3 linked regions of the Oreochromis niloticus genome follow. The protein of the gene in region 3 interacts with the protein of the main gene of each other region in a pairwise test. Links are inferred from orthologs where the notes say so. Each region holds a gene or a part of one and is shown on either strand. Other genes may lie near its edges.

Region 1 (7,091 bases), on a different chromosome or scaffold from region 3:
AACCATACACACACTCAGTGTCTGTACACATTGCTAATATAAACACGCAAAAAAGGGAGCTGCAGGATTGACAAACACAGTTTAAAAACACAGTGATTTTTGTTTCCCTCGTGAAATGTCCAGTATTCACACATCTGTACACTTTTAAGGAGCGCCTCCAATCTTGCAACAGTAGACCTCACCTTACCTAAAATGAACTTGGAACAAACGTATTTAAAACTAGTAGACACTCACTGTTTTATTGACCAATATGATTAGCACAAGTACACTAAACTCCGTTTATTGCATTTCACAATAATCTGCTTTTAACGGTCTAAAACACAACATCAACACCACAAAACTAAATTGCAAAATGAAAAAGAAAAAGAAAAATCCTGTTTCTGAAATACACGAGGTAATTCACACATTGTTATTCTCCTAAACATACAAGTTCAAGATCAATGGTGTGTTCCAGCTTTCTTTTTTATATACCAAAAATAACTATTATTATAGTGATTTCCTTCCAGTGTTGTTTGAAATAAATAGATTGTGCATTTCACCTTGGGCAGCAGGGCAAAAGAATGGCCCACAATAACATTTTGATAAAATGTATATTTTTTTCTACTTTTTCTTCCTTCATTCAAAACATTTTTTTAATAAAAAACATCATTTTAATTGAACTTCAAATAAATTAAACCCTGTGTCACGTAAAAATAATTCATCGGTATTCGCAGTAATCCATGCTATATAACATGCATTTTATATAACTTTGGACTTAAAGGAAACCGCACAAGATAGCTACGAAAACAAAATATATAAGTGTTCTATAAATAACCAGTTCTTATTCTACCCCCAGTATTGGTTCATGGTTTTATAACCTGGTAATATCCTCGCCATGCTGGGCTCCGGTAAGTTCGTCGGGGGCCCCCGTGTTAGTGGCCGAGGCAGCGGCAACAGCGCCGGCTGCTGAGCTTGTGTTGGACCCGGAGGAAGAGGACGAGGATCTCACTTTGGTGTTCGGGAGCCTGTGATCCTTTTTCCATTTCATCCTGCGGTTTTGAAACCAGATTTTAATCTGCCGCTCGGAGAGAACCAGGGTGTGTGCGATCTCGATGCGCCTCCGCCGAGTTAAATATCGGTTATAGTGGAATTCCTTCTCCAATTCTAAGACTTGCTGCCGGGTGTATGCTGTCCTAGACCGCTTGGGCTCCGTCCCATTGTAACCAGAGTTCACTGGAAGAAGGAGAAGAGGAGAGAAAGGGAGACAGAGAAGGGAGGAAAGGAGGGGTAAACAAGAATGGCCTCAACTGAGATATGGCTGGAAAGATTTATTGGTTATGAATGTTTAGCTGTTTGAGAAATTTAAATGGGAAGTTAAGAACTTCTCTACGTAATGAGAGGACACTCACATCCAACTATGAGCTAAATTATTAATGCAAGATTACAAAGCTCAGATTTTTTTTTTTCTTATTCATTTCTCCCCCTCTCTCCATCGCGCAATACATAACAGCAGAAGCCACATGGTGATACGGCTGCCCTGAGTATACCTCGGCTATAAAATTTATGGTGGGTGTAATTACCAATGCCGAGTCGTAAATCCGCCTCAATTGTGCCATTTCAAAGGCTTCCCTGCTATCGGAGCAGGGGCTGGCAACGAGATGGGAGTCAGAGGGACTGATAAAGGGAGGGAAGGGGAGAGAGGAGCATGAGGAGTGCAGGGAACATAAACACACAAGTTGCCTACCAGTGCTGACGTGAATTTTCTTCATCCATGGGTACACCACAGGCTGTTTGGAGGAGGCTGTGCTGTTTGGATGCTCCGGGGTAGCTTGGTTGCAGGCGGAGGTTGCGGCCGGTGGGGTGGCGGGGGACATGGACAACTGTGGGGTTTCACATGAAGCAGGCTGCCCTTTCCCTGTCAGTAGATGCGCAGAATGGGGTATTCCATGTCCCCTTGGCGTGTCAGGTTCAGGGATGCTTGCACAGTTATACTGGCGCTCTTGGTAGCTCGCCCGCGGAGGATATAACTCCTGATGGTGATGCTGGTAGCCAGTGTCCCTTGCGCGGCTGTAATATTCTGGACTATGCTCGGGGATGTAGTTATTTTGCGAATATTCCTCGCATGGAGGAAATTTCGGATCAATGTAGTTAGACTCCATCAAATACGAGCTCATGATCATTAATTTCTGGAGTGGAAAATAATTTTTCTAGCTTTGTCGTTTTTCTGCTCCATAAAGCCCTCCTACTTGCGAGCAGCCCTGTAAAGTTACTTTTACCACGTGACCCAATGGCCCAATAGCAGGGTAAGAGGTAGTTCCCGGATAAGGAACCAGAGGTATTTAGCATACCTACAGTCGCCATTGTGGGCACAAATCTTTCTCTCTCGCTCTCTCTCTCTCTCTCGCTCTTTCTCTCTCTCTTTCTCTCTCCCTCTCTCTCTCTCTCTCTGGCTGCGTTACCAAGGCAATTGATCTTGGGGACAAAACTAGTAGCTAGTTGCTGACCAAGGAAAAAATATAACAGGCAAATACAGTGGTCTCAATTATTCAAAGGGACAAGGATGAGGTACAACAATGGCAAACCAGTTATTGTGTTAGTTATAACACCTTATATAAAGATGATCGGCTGATTAACAAAGACCGTCTCTGACAACAAAGCTTCAGCTGTGACATAGTCCAGGGTCTCTTCACGAGACTAAGAATAAGGTCTGGATTGCTTTCTTTCTTTCTTTAAGTTTTCTTTCTTTATTCCCTAAAAACCATTTCAGCAGTAACATAGGTAAGATATCGTGACTATGAATGTCAGTGGAGAGGTGAATGCTCTCCAGCTTTGGAGGAGATGAAGACTGATCATTTGTAGTGCTGGACAGAAGTGGACAGAGAGAAACAATCTGCCTCAGTGGCAGGTTCTTCAACAATGAGAAATTTAGGTCTATCTATTTCGAATCCGTATTAATTTCTTTCAGACTACACATTTGTATGGATTTTTTCAGCTTTTAAATGAAAATTGGTAAGAATAATTAGAATCAGAATACTTTATTAATCCCCGAGGAAATTATGTGGCCACAGTTGCTCCAAGACAGTAAGAACAGTAAATAACTACACTAAATTAAATAATACAGTATATTACAAAGTTACAAAATATAACGAAAAAGATGTAAAAGATACAAATGGCTCAGTTATAAATATCTCAGTATATAGCATTAAGAATGGGACTGAATTACAGAAGGATTCTGTATCTGAGGTTGCTGCTTTAATGTAGCCAAAATCTGCTGGAACAAAAGTTGTGAAATGCTTTACAATATAAAAGATTTTGAGAATCCATCCAAGGTGCTTCTATTCTATCCTACAGAAAGACAAAGCAAAACTTGTTTAATCTCTAATCTTTGCTTCCATAAGGCACAACACAACAAAGCAACCATAAAAAACAAAACATTGCATAAATCAAAACTTGAATATAAACCCTGATATGCCACAGACTAAAATGTCATAGACACAACAAAACTGCAACACAGATGCGGGCTAAGCAGGCGTGAAACATCCAACTGATCAAACTTACATAATATCACTAATATGATGTCACAGATCAGGGACACACAACCCTGCAGAGAAGCATTCACCAGGAGCTCACAAACCAGCCAGCAGTGAAACTACATCACTATTATGTCACAGAGCAGAGGGTGTAATGAGCTGCTGATTTAACTGCAGGACCAGTATTGTGTCACTGTGAAGTTGCTGCAGACAAGAGAGTCTGCTGTACACACTCTTGACTAAGTGAACATCTGTCCTAAATGCATGATAGCAATTCACGACACGTGTAAATAGAAATCAGCCACCAGTCCTTGTGGTCTTGAGTGGTGCTAATTCCCCTTTCTTCTGACTGCAGTTTTACAGCTTGAAAAAGCCCTTATCTGTTACTTGGTGCACATGTTTCTGAGCTTTGTAATGGCCCAAATAAAAGCGCAGGAACAATCAATGAACAGCATCTATGTGAGGAAAAACAACACTGTTAGGCAGATGAGACAGGCCATCGAAACTACAAGAAGTGCTGAAGAAGAATTGCAGAATGCAACATCCCTATGATTAGTAAAAAAAAAAACATGGTTACTCTAAACAGTAAAATACAAACACTGAAAGTATTAGAACATTTTCTTTTGTTCAGCAGCCTTCAGGAAAATCCACCCTGAAAATGTTACATGCTAACCCTGGCTGAAGCACTGACCATGAGCCACAGTCTACAGCACTGGTGGTCTGTTGTTTTATTGTAAACTGATACTGCCTGGGTGTATAAACTTGTCATGTGCTGGAAGCTTCCCATTGTTGTCTCAGAGTCAGCTGTAGGCAGACAGAGTGAAGTTAACCTCCCTATCACCTTAACACCCCCATGTTTCACTTATATGTCTTCAGGTGGAGAGTAATAATAATAATAATAATAATAATAATAATAATAATAATACAATGGTATATTTCCATTCAAACCATCACATTGCAAGTTAAGCATCTATTTTCACAGCAGCAGTTAAATAATACGGTTAAAAACGACGTGAAATTGCTTATCATAATTCCGGCTGTACTGTTTGTAAAGAATGCGCACGACATTTCTATTACCCCTAGTGAGGATGTTAGAGGCGTTTTATAGAGCAATAAAAGCCGTAAATCAGTCACTTTTAAACGACCCCTGGTTCCTAACGTGTTTTACAGGGTCTGACACAGTAGTAGCCGCACACTGCACGTTCTCTGTGGCCTACCTACACAATCTGTGGCTGTCTGAGCTATGAATACACTTTGTGACAGCGTTATTGCACTGCTAGAGCCCGTGGATGGGGTGGATGCAGGCTGTATGTATCATCGTTGATGCTTGTATATGCAAAAGCAGGAAGAAAAAAATGCCAGAGAGACGTGAAGGGAAGCAGATGCAGAACAATCCATCGACTGGCGTGGTATTTCAGTTGCCCATGTATTCCTGTAGAGACGTATTTGCGACTGCTTGTACTTCACACAAATTCGGTTCTACAGGGTACATATAGACAACTAATGTGTTTTAGGTTAGACACTGTAAAAGGTCATCTGCCGGGCAAATATCTGTGGCAAGCAGGTTATCGTGCATTTCGCAGTCGTGTCACAAGAAGCATCAGAGTGGAAATACCACAGAAAGCGTGCGTCAAAGCGGATTCTGTTTATCAGGATTCAAGAAGCAAAGTCACAAACAAACCCCACTCCTGCTATGGATACATCTACAGGCAATGGAAAACACACATTTTACGTCCTTTCTCTAAAAATAAAATATCCATGAGTGCACACGTATGCCTGCAAACACACACACACACACACACACACACACACACACACACACACACACACACACACAAAGCATAAAGACGCCGTACGCAGAGAACAGAAAGGGTCTCTTTTCTCAACATTCAGCCTCTGCCTTTGAGGTACCTCCTATATGAATATTCAGCCACAAACACGAAGGATACAAAGGGACGGCGTGACAGCACACATGAAAAATAAGTTTCTATTGTTCCCAACCATTTCTTCTGCTTGCTATTACCATACTGACCGCTCGGTAACCTTTCTTGCTGCCACTCTGGAAGCTAATGAGAAAAGCCTCGGATGAAAAATGCAATATCAGACATGTGACCTGTTTCGGGGTTATTAAAAACAGCAAACATGCTCAGATTGTGAATCAATGGAATTGATTAGAGCGGTGATGCACAGGGTGCTTCAAACACTGTCAAAAAACATCTCAATCTACATATTTCTCCGCCAGCATCCCGCGCATCAATTTGATTTTTTAAAATTGATTAACAAAGCCTCCCGCCCCAACACACAGTGAACTCCCGAGAAGTGGTAACAAAAAAAAAAAATCTAACTCATATTCATTTGGATTTTTTTTTCATATTCTCATCAAAAGACATGCTGTTTGTCGTGCACACAACCAGTGTGAAAGGAGCTACATGCACACCACCTACTCCCTCTCGCCCCATGCGCTCTGGCGGACGCATTTTAATATTAGTTAGACAGCCTGACCCGCGTTTCACCCCTCGCGTTTGACTGGTTCCAATAGTTCACTGCCAAGGATTATTGATGGAGAGACAGCAATGAATTCTTTCTCCCCACAAATGGCTTTCAGATCGTGCACCTAGTTCAATAACTAGTTATAATGTAGAAGTACAAAAAATGAGGCCCTCAGGCGGACTAATTTGATGTTTCATTTGTTCATTTGAGAAATTAAGCTTTCCCTTTTCCTCCCCTGCAAAATAACAGCCTTACAAGCGTGTTCACACATGTACATATGTAAACAAAATAAATCTGTGCAAAACTATGTGGAGGTCGTTCTGTCCACGCAGTGCTGCTCTTTTTTTTTTTTTTAATTTGGTGGCCGAGTACCTGACTTGGATGCAGACAGTGCAGCAATATTGTGCTCCCTGATGAAAACGGTTACGATGCGCTTTTAATCAAACTCTTAACCTAATAGCCTTTCCACGTTTACTCTCCCCAGGTGTAATAACGTTAAGCTGTATCGTCCAGTTAAAATAAAAAGTTTTAATGAAGTGCAGACAGACTGGAGACTAGTTGGATATGAATACTCTTTAAAAAGCAGCAGCCAAGGGAGCAGAGGCGGTTTCAGAAACTAGATTCCCCACATAAACAGTTGGTTGGTTTTGCAGCAATGATGTGGTTCATAAGACTCACTGCGCAGTTAAATCCGGCTAACTGGCACTGCAAGAAGTTGAGAGTATAGGATGGTAATTCCATCTTAAGTTGGAGTTTTTGTTTAGGCTTCTATGTTTGAAATCGTAAGAAACGAGACAAAGAACATAATGCCAGAGTGTCTGAATAAATTAAGTGGAAGTGCAGATATTAAGGTGGTTGCTGTCATTGGAAAAACAACTCCGCCAGACAAGCTTTACTCTTAAATAAAGGTAGGTGGATAAGCGTGGGGCGATGCGTAACACTTACTATTAAATCCGCAGTCTCACTCACTTTGGCTCGTTGAAATGCCTGAAAAATAGAGAGAAAGAACGAAAAAATTAAAAGGGTAATGATGACAAAATGGTTCATAAAGGTCCATAAAAAAAATGTCCTCATTAAGTGACAAAATGAATT
Region 2 (7,883 bases), about 8.4 Mb from region 3:
GTGTGTGTGTGTGTGTGTGTGTGTGTTCAGGGCGGTTTCAGGGAGAGCGAGTGGAGCATCTCCGACACTCTGAGTTGATGGATGACTACATGGAACCCAGACAGCTCTGGACCACCAGAGATGTTGCAATACGAGTCCACAGCAGCTTCAGGTCTGCAGACACACACATACACATACACATTAAATGGGTTACATTAACATTGGCAGGAGCTAGCTGCAGCAGCTGTTTCAAACTGTTATGTATCCTATACATGTCTACTCAGCCAATCACATGGCAGCAAACGAATGCATTTAGATATGTAGACATGATCGAGACAAACTGCTGAAGTTCAGACTGAGCATCAGAATGAAGAAGAAAAGTGATTTAAGTGACTTCGAATGCAGCGTGGTTCTTAGTACCAGACAGACTGGTCTGAGTATGATAGTATAGTATGTATGAGTGATAGGCTGGCAGGCTCAGAATTTGAAATCATGGACCCCTCCTTGCTTATGTCAAAGGTTTGGCTGGGCTGTGTATGATGGAGTAATGGTATGTGGGCACGCTTTGGGCCCTTTAGTACCAACTAAGCATCATTTAAACATGGCTTTATCACCACAGTGTACCCGTATTCCAATGGCTGCTTCCAGCAGAATAATGCACCATGTCACAAAACTCAGATCATCTCAAACTACTTTCTTAAATATGAGTTCATTGTATTCAAATACCCTCCACAGTCACCAGATCTCAAACCAAAAGAGCACCTGGAATAGGAAATGTGCATCATCATGTCATCATGGACCAGAATGTTTCCTCCACCTTGTTGAAATTAGGCCACAAAGAAATCAGAAAGGGGTTCTAACCCTGTACTAGCAAAGTGTAACTAATGAAGTGGCTGGTGAATGTATATCTGATATAAAATATTTCACATGCTATGCCATCATACTGCAGTGGTCCTAAATACACCAATTCAGCAGTTCTTTTCTCTTGTTTTGTGACAGAGAAACAAAGACATCAATTTCAATGAGTAGCATGAGTAGCTGCCATGAAACCAGTTTAACGTGGTCCTGTGGTGTGATCTCCACCTGCAGGGTGATAGGTCTGTTCTGCCACGGTTTTCTGGCCGGCTTCGCAGTGTGGAACATCATTGTTGTGTACGTCTTAGCGGGCGAGCAGATGACCACGCTCCCCAACCTGTTGCAGCAGTACCACCTGCTGGCCTACCCGGCTCAGTCTCTGCTCTACCTGCTGCTGGCCATCAGCACTGTGTCTGCATTCGACAGGTTTGTGTGTTTAATAACTCAGAGGTCTACCTCTACACTCTCATTGAGAAGTGGAGGTGGAACCCATGCCATTGTTTAAGCTACTTAAAGGAGTGCGGTTCAGTTTGTGGCCTTTATCATGTCATTTTAATTATCTTTGAAAAATCTTTAATTATTCAACTTGTGCATTTTTACTTTATATCTTTCATCTCTTATTGTTTAAATTGCATTGTTCTTGTATTTTGTTCATCTCAACTGTTAAACTAACAATCCCAAAATTTCACTGCTCTTGTAATTTGAAAGAAATTAAGAATCTGCACTTGGTGGGAACGTGTACTGAAGACCTGTATTTCCACCAGCAATTAAAAGAAATTGTCTCATAATTATCCAAATTCCCGCTGGACAGGAATTGTTGACTTGAATAAATAAGAAGGTGAAAAGTAAGAGCTTTGCTGTTTTGCACCATCTTCAGAGTGAACCTGGCCAAGGCCTCCATGGCCCTGAGAGGCTTCCTCACCCTGGATCCTGTCGCTCTGGCTTCCTTCTGTAAGTAAGACAAGACGAAAGCAGAATGATGATGATGTTGATGTTAAGGCCTTAATGTGGTTAAGGACTATGCAGTCATGTAAAAAACTAGATACCTTTACTGCCTCCATAGAAATTACAAAAGTAGGACCCAGGTACTGCTAATCAAATGCACCTGATTAATTCAATTATATAAAGGCTTTAGCAATTTGCTGGTCTGTCATTCCAAAGTCGTCTTTCCAGGAGTGAACATAGCACCAATTCCCCCAACTCTGCATATCAAAGTATTCAAAAGTGAAGTCATCTGTCTGACAGGTAATATTTGGCTTACACTGGGTCATGTTGAAGAACAATGACCGCCAGCTTAGCAGCAAATCCAAACCTCAGTCTGGCTTAAATGCTGTGCGGCTTCATAGAGCTGTGCATGAACAAAGAACCAAGGTTTAAAGAAGAGTGGGCCAAACTTCCTCCACAACAATGTTACAGACTGATAAAGTCATACAGAAAACATTTACTCATTGTAAGGGCGATTAAGGTAGATCTAAAGCTAATGAATTATGAACCTAGGCATGTTGGACTGGTCATTTTTTACTCTCTTAGTGGTTTTTTACAGGATCTCATAGAAAACTGAAAATGTTCTTTTTTAAATGCCTGTAAGTATCCAAACATCTTCTCTCTTTGTGTGCTCAGTGTATTTTATAGCCCTGATCCTGTCCCTCAGCCAGCAAATGGCCAGTGATCGCATCAACCTGTATCCCACTGCCAACGAGACTCTGTGGTGAGATTTTTGTTTTCATTTTTATAAGTCAGCATTTTTAGCGTGATCTTGGAAAAGTAAAGAGAAAAACAGATGAAAGCAATTCTTTCCACAACAAGTTCAAGGTTGACATGGCAACTGAATTTAAAAACTGATAGGAGCTTAAAGGGCTAAAAGGAAATATCTAATGCAGGATGGTTTAAAAGCAGGTGTTTTACATTATACAATACTTATTAATACTTATTAATATTTCTGTGGTTCTAGTAGAACACTAACCATGTATAAGAAGTTGATTTTTACCAAAAGTGTAACCCTTATTCAGGCAATTGTAGTCACATGTTGGTTTTTTCCCATGATGAAACTAATTTGAATATCTTTCTATATATTGAGTAATACTTACATTTCAATTGTTTGGCAAATTTAAAAACAAAACATTTGAAAACCAAAAGTATCCAGAAAACATTCACACATTTCCACATAAAAGGAACATCTTCCTTTTAACAACACTGAGACCTGAGGTACCATTGCCAAAGACTTTTAAGAGGCTAATGCATTTCTTTTATTAAACTTAACTTGGAGAATCTCAGAGTTCTGCTATTTTCTCCTTACCATGGTTGGAAAACCCTCCTGAGGACTCAATCTTGACATGGAATGGTAAATTAATAACTGCTGTTTAACCTCTCATGTCCTGCAGGCCTCCTGGTTCAGAGCAGCAGATCCTGCGGCCGTGGATTGTAGTGAACCTGGTGGTGGCGCTATCAGTGGGCCTGGCCTGGGCCGTCGTCTCCACACGACCAGACATCGACTACACAGAAGGCAAGTTTAGCTAAAACTAACCTGATATGACTTGGACATTCCATCACCCAGTGATGGAAAGTAACCAAATGTAGTTAAGTACAGTTCTCTGGTCTTTTGCATTACTTGTACAAAAATATGCTATTGCTCATAACAAATATGTATTCCTTTTAAGCTTCAAAAACTTTTTTTATAGAAAATGAAATGTAAAGATCACACAGAGGGATGTTACTTAACTTTGGGGACACCTTCTTGAGCAAACAGGAAACGTTAATGATACTTCACATCCTGTGGAAACAGTGAAATAAAATGAAAAAGTGGTAATAAAACTACAATAACAGAAATCGTAAAAGGCTTCTGTAGGATTTGCAAGGTTTTGGCCACACAGCACACGCACATGGAGTCTCCTGGACTCCAAATACACCAGGTAGTCTGAAGGATTAATGACACATCACTTTTTTTTAATTTAAATGTAGCTGTATATAGTATAAAAGTAATACTTTTGATGCATTGCTGTGTTCCTGGTGTCATTCTTTATGTCACCACTAGATAGAAGCAAAGTGAAACATGTTCAAACCCTAAAAGCAAATGGCAGACATTCACATGTCAGCAAGCCAGCGTGTGTGTGCTTTGTAGAAATGTAAGCTGATGGTCTGGATTTCCTTTTGCAGAGTTTTTGATGACAATGGAAGTGGAGGGATACCCGAGAGGAGATGAGAACCTGGACATTCCGGCCTGAAACCTCTCTCTCTTTCTTTGTCTCCAAGTCTGTTTATGTTTTTGTATAATGTAGCTTTGTGTTTGAGCTGATTTTGCAAATAAACTAATAAAGGCTATATGGTAATAGGTGGTTGATACTTCTGCAGAGGAATAAGTGCCAGAAGAGCATAAAATACTTTCTGGTGTTTGTACTCCACTTGTAAATGTTGTATGTATTATTTTCATTCCTCTATTTTTGCTTATGGTCGTTTGCACCTTTTAGCAGTTTTGTCTGTGAAGTCATTTTGTGTGTCTGTTGTGTTTTCATCACTTTGCAGTTTTTGTGTCTTTGTGTGTTTTCTGTTTGTGGTCATTTTACCCATTTTGCCTGTAACAATTTTTATACACAACAGCAATTTTTTATGCTGTGTGTTGTAATTGGGAAGTCGCTTTGCATGTACTTGGATGTGTCTCCTTTTGTGTATCCGTTTGATGTCATTTGTCATTTTGTGTGCCTTGTTTGTTTGTAGCAGTTTTCTAAGTAATTGTAATATTTCTGAGCTCTATTTGCCTCTTTTACCTTCATCATTTGCATCACCTCCTGCGTGTATTTCATAACAGTTTGTAGTCGTTTCCGAGATGTTTTTGCGTGACTTTGATTAACATTCCCTAAAAAAGAAGGTTAAACAGTCAAACGAAACAATATCGTGGCCCCACCTTACGACAGTGGGCTCTACACTTGTGCCTGGTAGTCCCTCAGAGCACTCCCACTCTCCCACTTTTCTTCATGCCATCACAGTATTGACATTTCCGCACAGCCCCTGAAGGCGCTAGGATCCATCCATTCAGCGCGCGCTGCAGCCGTGTAGTAAAAGCCATGTAAAGATGGCGGAGCTGCAGATGCTGCTGGAGGAGGAAATTCCTGCGGGACGAAGAGCGTTGTTGGACAGTTTTACCAACCTGGAAAGAGTCGCGGAGTACTGCGAAAGCAACTATGTCCAGGTACATGCTCATATTTAAACAGCAAGTGTATAAGTTGGGTGAAATGACATATCGAGGTAATGTCAGTTGGGAGTAGGCGGTTTGGATAGAGGAGTGATGGAATGACCGTGCCAGATTCCGTTATGTTACCCGTGGTTTTTATGTAAAGGGGAAAAGTCACAGCGAATTCAATACAAACACTGACCCGCTGATGCCTGAATACGAAGGGTGTCGGGGTCAATTCGGTTTTTTGAAAAATATCCTCAAACACATCTTTACTAGTGAAAAATCAACTTTTGTAAGTGGTTTGCGCAGCACCGTGTTGTTTTCTGATGGAGCGTGACTCTGTGGGAATGTGATGGGTGGATTTGGGTTAGTTTTAAAAGTTTGCTTTAACCGAAATAAGTTTGAATATGTTCACTGAATGGGTGCCGAATTAATTGTCGAGTTGCGTTTTTCTAGTAAAATGTCTCTTGCAAAGTTTGTGATGTTTATGTAAGCAGGCAATCGCTTGAGCAGAGATGCGTTAATGGGAGTCTGGCGCGACACTTAACTGGTATGTGATTGTGGCCGATAACTTGCACTGTAAATCGCTGCTGAGATTTATGATTTACTTTTACTGCTATTCTATAAACAGTTTGTTTTTATTTATTTATTTTCATCAAATGATAACCGGCAGAATTAGGGAAATTTGAAGATAATTGTTAGTTTCAGTCCTGATCTAAAGTCTTCAGTATCTAGTAAAAACATTGTTTCAAATTGCCATCAAGGTGGCAAATACGGCTGTTATGACAAATAAATGTATCAGATTAATCTTTAGTATAGATCCTTTATAGATTCCGTTTGTCCTTGAAGATGCAGCTAATGATTAATATCATCGCTGATAGCTGACAGCTTTTCTTTGATACAAATTGTGCTTTTCTTTTTTATGCTGTTACAGTGGTTGATGCTCATATTAACATGGCCAAAGTTTCAGACCATGAGGTCAAGTTATTCCTGTGAACCAAAACAAAGTGGTCTAAATGCTCAGTTTCAGACACTTTCTTCTCCTCTTGGCTCTGTATGACGTCAGTGACAGCGGAGATCCCTAATATGGTCATGTCAGGCTCACAACTCTGGCTAATTTATGCAAATATGACATGGAGGAAAAGGGGTTTGCACTCATTGCTCTTTCCATCATTGGTGGAACCGGATGACGTATGCGTCAAGTGGGCATATGGAAGGGAAGGGGACAAGAGTGGATCTTCTCTGTGGCTGGCAAATGGACCAACAACACCACGACCTGTTCTATCACATACTTTGTACACTGTTTCTATCTGACACTGTTTCTGCTCTGCACGCTGAACCAAACTTTTTGTTTCTGGCTGTAAGCACATAAGGCCCACCACCTGCTTTTCAAACCATAGATGGTCTAAAAGATGGACGTAGCCACCATTACGCCAGCTGTTGGTTTGTGAAGTCCTGTTTTTGAATCTTCAAGCTGATGGGTTTTTTCCCCCAAACGTAATGTTTGTCATGTCATTAAAACCGGACGTGACAAGCAAAGGTTGGATCTAAAACTGCACATACGGCAATTTTCAACTGCGACTTACTTGAAGCTGTTGTATTATAGCACAGTCATTTGTCACGGGCATAATACAGCCCCTTGAATTTAGTGTTAAATTAACACTCAGCTTATCCACTGATGGCTTCTTGAGAATGTGAGTTAGACACCAGTATCTGTACTGGGCTGCCATCCCTCCACCCCCGTGCTTGCTTATCGGAGAGTGTGTGAGTGTACGTGGGCAGACAAGGCTGTTACGGACAACTGTTCTTCCTCAGCTGGCTCTGTAGACACACCTGTTCATCGCCACATTTCATTTAGATTCGTGTGTTTGTGTGAGTCTTACTGTCAGTCAACAAGTGAAAGTGCATCAACAGTCTTTCTTCTTTAAAGGCCAGAAGCACACAGGCGCTACATGATGCGTCACAGCAGACCGACACAGTGAAATCTTGTTCTGCACATCTACACATGATGAATTCCACAAGGGCGCTTTCTTTTTCCCCTCTTTTATTCCTTCTCCTCTCTATTTCTTCTTTCCTTTATAACCTTTGACCTTTTTATTTCTCTGAAATTCTCAGTCTGTTTTCACACAGTACTAGCTTGGCATTAGCTTTCTCATTTTTAGCAGTCACATCAGCAGTAACATGTCATCTTCTCAGGAAAACTGAAAGTCTTTTTTAGCTCGTTAGACTGCTCACACTGCATGTTCAGATTGAGCCTAGCATGGCTAACTCAGTACCCAGAGGATGGCCTACATTTATGCAGCCAGCAGATGATGTGATTGTTACATAATAGCGCAGTGTGCTGATCCTGTTTTATGGGCTAAATATTTGGATTCAGAGTTGACCCGGGTCAAGTTGTTGTTGGTCTTATGTGGCCACATCCTGGCATCATTGTGGTCCAAATTCAGATTTAAAACAGTCTAGTGCTTTTTAAGGGGTGGGGGTGGGGGGGGTGGGGGGGGTTACAGAGTGTCTTTATTCTTTTACTTTTGCATTCCCAGAAAGTTGATTTCCTTACCTGCATCAAGGTGCTCTGAGTGTTTATTTGTTTTCTGTGAACAGAGATTTTCAATAACATAATGTTGCAACTGTACAAGATACAGTCATGAAGCTTTGCACGTCTGTGGTTGACATCAAAATGAATGCTGGCTTTGAACATGGGTGTGGTCAGTTTTGAGCATTAAATAAAGGCTTCCTGGAAGTGGGGAGGACAAGGGCTCCTTCCCATTTTATTTTGTGCAATCCCAACAAGCAGACAAACACCTGTGAGCAAACACTTGGCAACAGTGAAAAGGGAAAACTGTCTTTTAACAGGAAGAAACCTCCAGCAGAACCAGGCTCA
Region 3 (7,507 bases):
ACTTGCTCGGAACAAAGTCATTTTCCACTGGCTTCCACTCAAAACAACAGAGGAAAAAAATATTGTGCGGGCACAGCGCGGCAGTATGCAAGGGATATTTTTTTTTTTTTTTTTTTTTTTTTTTCTTTAAGGCCCATTAGGCATACACAAGAAAGACGAGCAGAGTAATTAGTTGCAGCTCATAAAAGTGCAATCAAATACACAGAAGAAAGAGGATTTGGATTACTCTCTCATCTGTAAGAAGAAAAAAAATGCAGCTCAAATGACAAACGTGCACATGTTCCAAGTTTGATAGGGGAAGTTAAGACAAAAAATAGCAATTTGTCACTAAATGCGAGGGCGATCTACACGCTCGTATTTATATCAACGTCACATATACTAAGAAATATTCATATTACATTATTTTCTCTAAATCGGCACCAAATGTTTATGCAATCATCTGACGTCCAGAGTATTCTGTTCAACATTTGCTACGAGCTGCCTTCATATCAACTTAAAGTGACAAAGCTCATGCAAGGTGGAAACAAACAAAGTCATATATTAACACCAGTGTTTGTTCTTTCTATCAGATTGGATATGAGGTTAATCATTACCTGTTGTCCAGGCTGCTTCATTCACTTAGGCACATTATGGTAGGAAAAACCATGCATGTTTTAATATCCAAATGCTGAATCACACACTGGTTAAAAAAAAAAAAAAAAAATAGCTTCAGTTCATCTCCAGCATTTAACACTTGGCAGACTATTAAAGGGGAAGTTCCCACAGATTGACTCTTAAAATTTTTGACTTTATTAATTGATGATGGCTGCCTGAACGCACCATTGGTTTCAGTCTCCGCAGCACATGGAGGCAATTTAATGTGTGTCATTTTGAAAAGGGCTCTTCTATAAGTCCAGCTTATAATGAAACATGTCAATTATAAATTCTTGAAAGGAGAGGTAATGAAAGACTCCTTTAAATGATGCAATTGGAGCAACCAGCAGTTAGAAAAAGCCCCAAATAATTGGTTTACAAAGATTTTAAAGAGGGAAAAAAGCAGCATCTGCAAAATTGACTTAATCAGCTTTAGATTAAAATGACAAAATTGCTTAACATGTGCACACACTTGGTAATCAATGATTCCTTCAAAATGTACCTACAAAATATGCCTTAGATCAAAACCTCATTTAAAAACATACATGCAACAGGATACAGCAGGTTTGCAACAATTATCTGACTCACTTCTACATTACTTTCTCAGTTATAACTGTTTATAAGTCGTAAAATAAAATTCTAAAAAAAGGCACGGCGTGAGTTATTTTAATACCGCTTTTTTTGATTGCCAATCAAAAATGCAATAATATTCAGCTTACAATCATAGAGGATCAAGAAATGCAGCAAATATTCACTGAGAGGTGGAATCAGACCCAAATTACCCGATCACCGTAATTCCCATAACTAATAGTTTCAGGTCAAATTTAGGGTTTAACTGAACCACCACATAATCTACAACACTCATACTAAATGTTACTTGAGTGTGAAGTCAGCCCGAAAAGCTCACATTTCCACTGAGTACATGCAGTTACTGCACTTCTCGGTATCATTAGCAGTCTTTCTAGTTTTAGTTTCTGATATGCTGGAAATGCAAAGCACTGAAACTCGCGTTCTCTCTTTGCTTTGTGATGTAATGGACGTTTATGCAATTCACACTTTATCGCTCCATTATTGCACATGCCTACACGGCATACCTGTCACTTCTGAGTGAACCTTGTCCTAGACTCAGAGCTAACATGGTGCTCTTGTCAGAGGGTGTGTCGGCAGAATAGGTGTGCCACGCAAGTGTACCTGCATGTTGAAAAAAAGAAAAAAGAGAAACTGTGCTTTCTTATAACCTCAGTCCTTGCATTTGCATGCAAGTGCAAATTTCCCCCCGTCTTCTAGAATAAAAGGGACTTTAGTTATGGACAATAACTGCCACAGCAAGACAGACAATGCATGCTATTCTCTGCTGCTATTGATGAGGAGGACGCACGGTGTAGTTACCATGAAAAGCCACTAGACATTCAACATTGACAATCTCGGCATGTGGCACCAGTCGCCAGTCTATGGTGTTTTGGCAAATGTGGTTCATTGTGTAAGCCACTGCGTTTTTAAACAGGCCTGCTGACAAACGCAGTGCATTGTAAATGTAAAAAAAATAACATGAATTTATGTGTGGATTTCTATTAATTTGAGATATAAATGCGAGAAATTACTCAAACAAGAGCAGCTGCCTGAGAAAACAGTCTAAAGGACCTGCCTGAGGATTGCTTGAGTAGCTTGCGCTTACAGGCCTTTAAGAAGTGGCCCCGCACAAAAATTGCTAAATGGTAAAGTTGATAAATTGAAAACCATTTAGTCTGGCTCTAAAAATGAAAAAAGAAAAATATCACTGTTTGTGTGGCTAGTTAACAGCAACCACTCAAACGCAAGGAAAAACCGAGGCTGTAGCACACAGCGTCCAGTGAAACCACCTCTGAGTGGACAAAGACCCAGCGTCAAACCTACAAAGTGGCACGAGCAAGCTGCCGTTTTTCTTTACCCCAACTTTTACTTCAGCTTGTAATGACATTTTTCGCGGGCAAATTTAACTAAAAACGGTTGTTTAAGCAGCACTGAAATGGCCAAAGCGACCGGTCCAAGTGCACCAACTTAACACAGTTCATTTGCGGTTACAAGGCTTACCTTAGTGTTCACTCCAGTGAGAATGGGCAAACAGCGACACGCTCAACAACAAACCCCGAACCAGAACCCGCCAATCAAATTGTAAGTTAGGGAGCCCGCGCGAAAGCCGCAAAGATAACCCCCTACATCCACATATCCACGGGTTTCTCTATTTTTTCTTTCTTTTAAAACAAGAATCGAGCATGAAGTGTCCGACCTATTATCGCTTGTTTTTTCCGTCGCAGGCTGACTGCCTCCACCTCAATCACTCGTTTCAAGCTTGGTCTATGGGGCTGCCAACTTCCGCTCTTTGCTTTCAAAATAAATTCTTCTGGGCGTACAGACGTTGCAGTCAAACGAGCTGAATTTGAAATCCGGAGGAAATGGTGATAGAAGTTTAACTTCCAGGTGGGAAAAATAGATTTTTAATAAATGTGTTTAGATTTTTAAAGTTTTTAAGTTTTTAAGTCAGATATGTCTTGTGTTTCGGTTTATGCCTTTTTTTTTTTAAAATCTCCAAGTAACCAGTATTTTATTTAATAAGTTAATTCAGATGATTCGTCAAAATATCTGCCCTTAAAGGTGTCTAGAAGCTTCACAAAGACTTGTTTCCAGAAGGATTCTGGGTCTTCTCCTTCATCTGACTGCTCCTTTTAGGGGGTCACCACATCAGATGCTCTGGCTCCATCTCACCCTATTCCTGACATCCTCCTCTGTCACACAACCAACTTCATTACATCCACGAATCTTCTCTGTCATCATCCTCTTTTCCCCCTGCCTGGCAGCTTCATATCCAATATCCTTTGTTCAACCTACGACCTATCTCCCTCTCCAAATGTCCAAACTCTCTCTAATTCTATCTCCAAACTTACCTGGTCACTCACAATGAAAAATTTAGCATCTTCAACTCCCTGTCCTTTTTGTTCATCTCCAAACCCCACATAACAGCAGGTCTCACTACCCTCCCAAGGTGGCTGTGGCTAGGTGTGAAAAGAAATGTTAAGCAGGATGCAAACAGAGATTATGAATTTAAAAATATTTTATTTTCTATTTTAATTTTTATTCAGTTTTCTGTTATTCATGTTTGCGCCTACAATTTTCAATGAAATTTTGCTTCTGTGTTATCCAAGTGATCTAAGACGACTAATGCTTTTATTTCGAAGACACCTTCTTTGATTTCCGGTTTGATTTCGTTGAGTGCGCTCAGCTTGATCGCCGGTCCCCTTGGTGACGTCACCCACACCGGGACTCGTACAGGACAACGCCGAGAGAAAGGGAGAAAATGTGAGGTACTGTGTCGCCCCTTGGCGACCACACTGGGAAAACGGATGTATTTTATTTTATTTTTACATGCAAAGTGGTTTTTTTTTTCAATAGCCTGCAAGTGATTATCTTGAGTAAACTCATAAACAAAAACTTAGTATTGATGAGTTCATCAAAAAGTCCCTGCTCGCCCGTCAACTATGTAATTAATCATACCAAAGTATTCGTCGTATATTACACAGTAAACTCCATTGTTCACACACTAAATTTAGACTTTGTGCGGTTGTTTTCTCATCTGTGTGTTCCTTCTCACGGTTTTCATCACTCAGATGGTGTGCTATTTACAGAAATAAATCATCCTACACACTTGAAACTGTTAAAAATAACACGAGGCGGAAAAGACGTTGCATTTAGCTCATGTTAGAGTGAAAAAAAGAGTTAAAAACAGTCAAACACCTTGACACGCTAGAGGTTCAATGAGCAGGTCTGATATTTACCAGTACTAAGGTTTAGTAATCAAAGAGCAATCAGATTAAAAGCAATCAGAGCAAAATCCCCCCCGTTGTATTTTATGTTTGTTAGACACACCTAACATACAGTATATGATCTCATGAGTACTGACAAGGCCGCATTTTCATGAATAAACCTTGAGCACGAGTAACCGGTTGCATAATAACAGGTTGGTTTTTACATCCAATCAAAACAAGTCAGTCCTAAGATGGTAATAAAAGAAAGCTGCACTGAGTCGATGCCGATCTGATTTAGGAATGGAGTCCCTACTGAAGTGTCCAAAGTGTCCCGTTTTTCCTTGCTCAGTATCCCACGGTGATTTGCTTTTATGGGCACCATTCGAAATCAAATAATGTTCTAGATCTAATTTTGAGAAATTAGAGCCGTGGCAAAAGGCCAGAATTTAGTCAATATCTCTAAAGACTTTTTCTCAACTATATATTACATGTCAGTTTTATGACAGTTTGTCTGTCATGTAAGAAAAAAATAAAATAATATCGCTGTTTTGAATGCTGTAAAAGTGCAGTCTCACATTAAGACTACATCCTGTGTCTCTGACTACTACACATTTGTAATTTATGACTGGATTTGGATCCTACTCAACACACAGTTTTCATAGCCAAAACCTTCTGTTCCCACTAATCTCTTATGTGCAATATCCATCTGTTTTAACAGTTCAGTTGGCCCAAATCCACCGATGCTGATTCATTTATGCGTACCGTGTTACACTGCGCCTTCACACGTCCCTATTCATTCCTGCAATGTAAAGCAAAGCAGTTACCTGTAAACGCCCTTTGACACTCAACTCAGCAGGCCTGAGCGACACTTTTTTGTCTTTATTTCAAAGTGTGCAGTGAGAGTGAAAATAACACTGCACGTGTATAGAGAGGCTCTTGTAGCATTGGATTTGCTGTCACAAGGGGGCAGAACATCCTTGGAAGAAATGCATATCCATTACTGGTATGCCAAAAGCTTTAATGTGCCCTAAATGCTGCAGCAGGTCAGATGTAGTGCACCAAAAGTATCAGGATGTCTGCCTGCATTGTTCCCCTTCTGCAACACAAAAGCTAAAATGCTTTTTGTCCCTTCTAATCCACCAAACTCTGCACCACCAATACAAAGTCGCAGTATCACGACTCAGTGTGTCCCATTTGCATGCATATTGTAAGAAACAGTGCTAAAAAGATAAAGTATGTGACCTGGATCACGGGCGCTGTCCCCGTAATCATGTGCGAATGCCTAACATACCAACCTTCATCACCATAGCGTCAGGATTTGACAAATAAATGACCATCTGCTGACCTTTTCACCCACACTCCACTCCTCCACCCCTCACCCCAACCACCCTGTCTTATTCATCATACACAATTTTGTTTTCTACCTCAACAAACTAATTTAATTAGAGGACAGTTGGATGAATAACTGTAAGCACGTGCTTATTTTTAACCATCCACGTTAAAAGTTAAATCCGTTTTAATGCTGCGGACTCACGGGTAATTGGAAAGAGCTGATGTGCGTGTTCACACTGCTACACTTGGTATTATTAGATTTCCCGATTGGATATCATTCAGCATAAAGTTCATTATATAACTTTCAAAAACAACATTACATGTCTAAGGGGGGAGGAGGCGGTGTTTAATGTTGCTGAAGAAGTGCAAAATTATTGGAATGGTTTGTCTTTCATACCCCACTCCTCCTAATCCCGAGGCAAACTTGATTTATTAATCGAGACTGAGTCACACATGTCACCACTCTATCTGCTGCTGCTATAACCAGGATGTCTTCCATTTTAGAGCCACGCCCCTCATATTGTCACCAGTGACACTGTATCGTCGACTGGTGAGGGGCCTGCAGCTGAGCGGAGCTATAGTTACCATGCTGATGAAACTGGATGTTTATTTTGGCAGAAAGGCACCCCGTGTTTAAGTATATCTGACCGGAGGTGGTGATGTACGTGATGAACCAGCGGCTCCTGTGCTATGTTTGCAATTCACTGACCTCAAGGCCAAGTGAGACTTTTAGCCTTCTGAAACATAGATTACGTATGATGGAAATGAGCATCTTTGATCCTTCAAAGAGAGGATGTATTCATCAAAATGCAGAAATGTATTATCTTGGTGTCACAGATGTAGATATGGTGCTTTCCCCCCGCTGTTAAAACATCCACTTTGGAAAAGGCTGGTTTGAAGAGGGTATGAGAGTTGGTTAGTGGTTTGTAGAGACAGAGTTACAGAGAGTTAATGGGTGGATATTAAAATTAGCTCTCACATGTGTTTCTGGAATAAAAAGCAGAATCAGAATAGTTTAATAATCCTCTATGGTTGCAAAACCAGCCCTATTCATCACCACTCTACCACCGTGCTTAACAGCGTTGTATGAGGTGTTTGTGCTGATATGCTGTGTTTGGGTTTTCTCTAAATGCAGTGCTATGCAATATAGCCAAATAGTTCCACTCTGGTCTCATGTATCCCAAGGACACTGTTCCAGAAGTCTTGTGGTTTATTCAGGTGCAACTTTGCAAACCTAAGCCGCGCTGCCATGTTCTTTTTAAAGAGAAAAGAGGCTTCCATCCAGAATAGTCATACAGTACTTGTTGAATGTGTTTCTAATTGCACTGTCATGAACTTTAACATTTAGCATGCTAACAGAGTCAGAGATGTAGCTCTTGAGTTAATTGCAGTTTCTCTGAGCACTGCACAATCTGACCTTGAGGTGAATTTGTTGGGACGTCCAATCCTGGAAAGTTTGGCAACTGTCTTGAATGTTTTCCATTTGTGAACAATCTTTCCCTCCACAGGATGACAGCCCTCTCTGGCAGAAGGAAGCCTTTCTGTCAGAAAAGTCTTCCAAAACAAACTCCTTGCATTCTGAAAAAAGAAATGTTGTGAAGGGAAACATCTACCACAACCACATGAGATGTTTTGTATCTGGTATCGGAAAGCTATATACATCACAGTGACATGGCTGATCAGCTGGAATGATGGTGTTAGAGCCACATTAATATGATTCATTAGGGGGAAAAAAACACCAATACAGCAATGTCTTTACATAC

The links.
Region 1: the proteins of nck2a (region 3) and hoxc4a interact in binary tests that used the Homo sapiens proteins (3 or more experiments, as listed by UniProt). The two-hybrid records come from large-scale screens. The link is inferred for Oreochromis niloticus from reciprocal best matches to the Homo sapiens genes NCK2 and HOXC4.
Region 2: the proteins of nck2a (region 3) and abl interactor 2 interact in binary tests that used the Homo sapiens proteins (3 or more experiments, as listed by UniProt). The link is inferred for Oreochromis niloticus from reciprocal best matches to the Homo sapiens genes NCK2 and ABI2.

What each region holds. Positions count from the first base shown.
Region 1 is NC_031984.2:19,198,623-19,205,713, forward strand, and holds hoxc4a (homeobox protein Hox-C4a), read right to left. Parts: upstream 3,010-7,091; 5' UTR 2,160-3,009; coding exon 1,724-2,159; intron 1,213-1,723; coding exon 851-1,212; 3' UTR 226-850; downstream 1-225. UniProt on the Homo sapiens protein: Sequence-specific transcription factor which is part of a developmental regulatory system that provides cells with specific positional identities on the anterior-posterior axis.
Region 2 is NC_031987.2:29,356,853-29,364,735, forward strand, and holds the start of abl interactor 2, read left to right. Parts: upstream 1-4,874; 5' UTR 4,875-4,900; coding exon 4,901-5,017; intron 5,018-7,883. Other genes in the region: transmembrane protein 237A, read left to right, coding at 31-151, 1,069-1,260, 1,712-1,785, 2,455-2,542, 3,216-3,337, 3,988-4,055. UniProt on the Homo sapiens protein: Regulator of actin cytoskeleton dynamics underlying cell motility and adhesion. Functions as a component of the WAVE complex, which activates actin nucleating machinery Arp2/3 to drive lamellipodia formation.
Region 3 is NC_031987.2:20,986,205-20,993,711, reverse strand, and holds the start of nck2a (cytoplasmic protein NCK2a), read right to left. Parts: upstream 3,019-7,507; 5' UTR 2,900-3,018; exon of another isoform or gene 2,704-2,899; intron 680-2,703; exon of another isoform or gene 594-679; intron 1-593. UniProt on the Homo sapiens protein: Adapter protein which associates with tyrosine-phosphorylated growth factor receptors or their cellular substrates. Maintains low levels of EIF2S1 phosphorylation by promoting its dephosphorylation by PP1.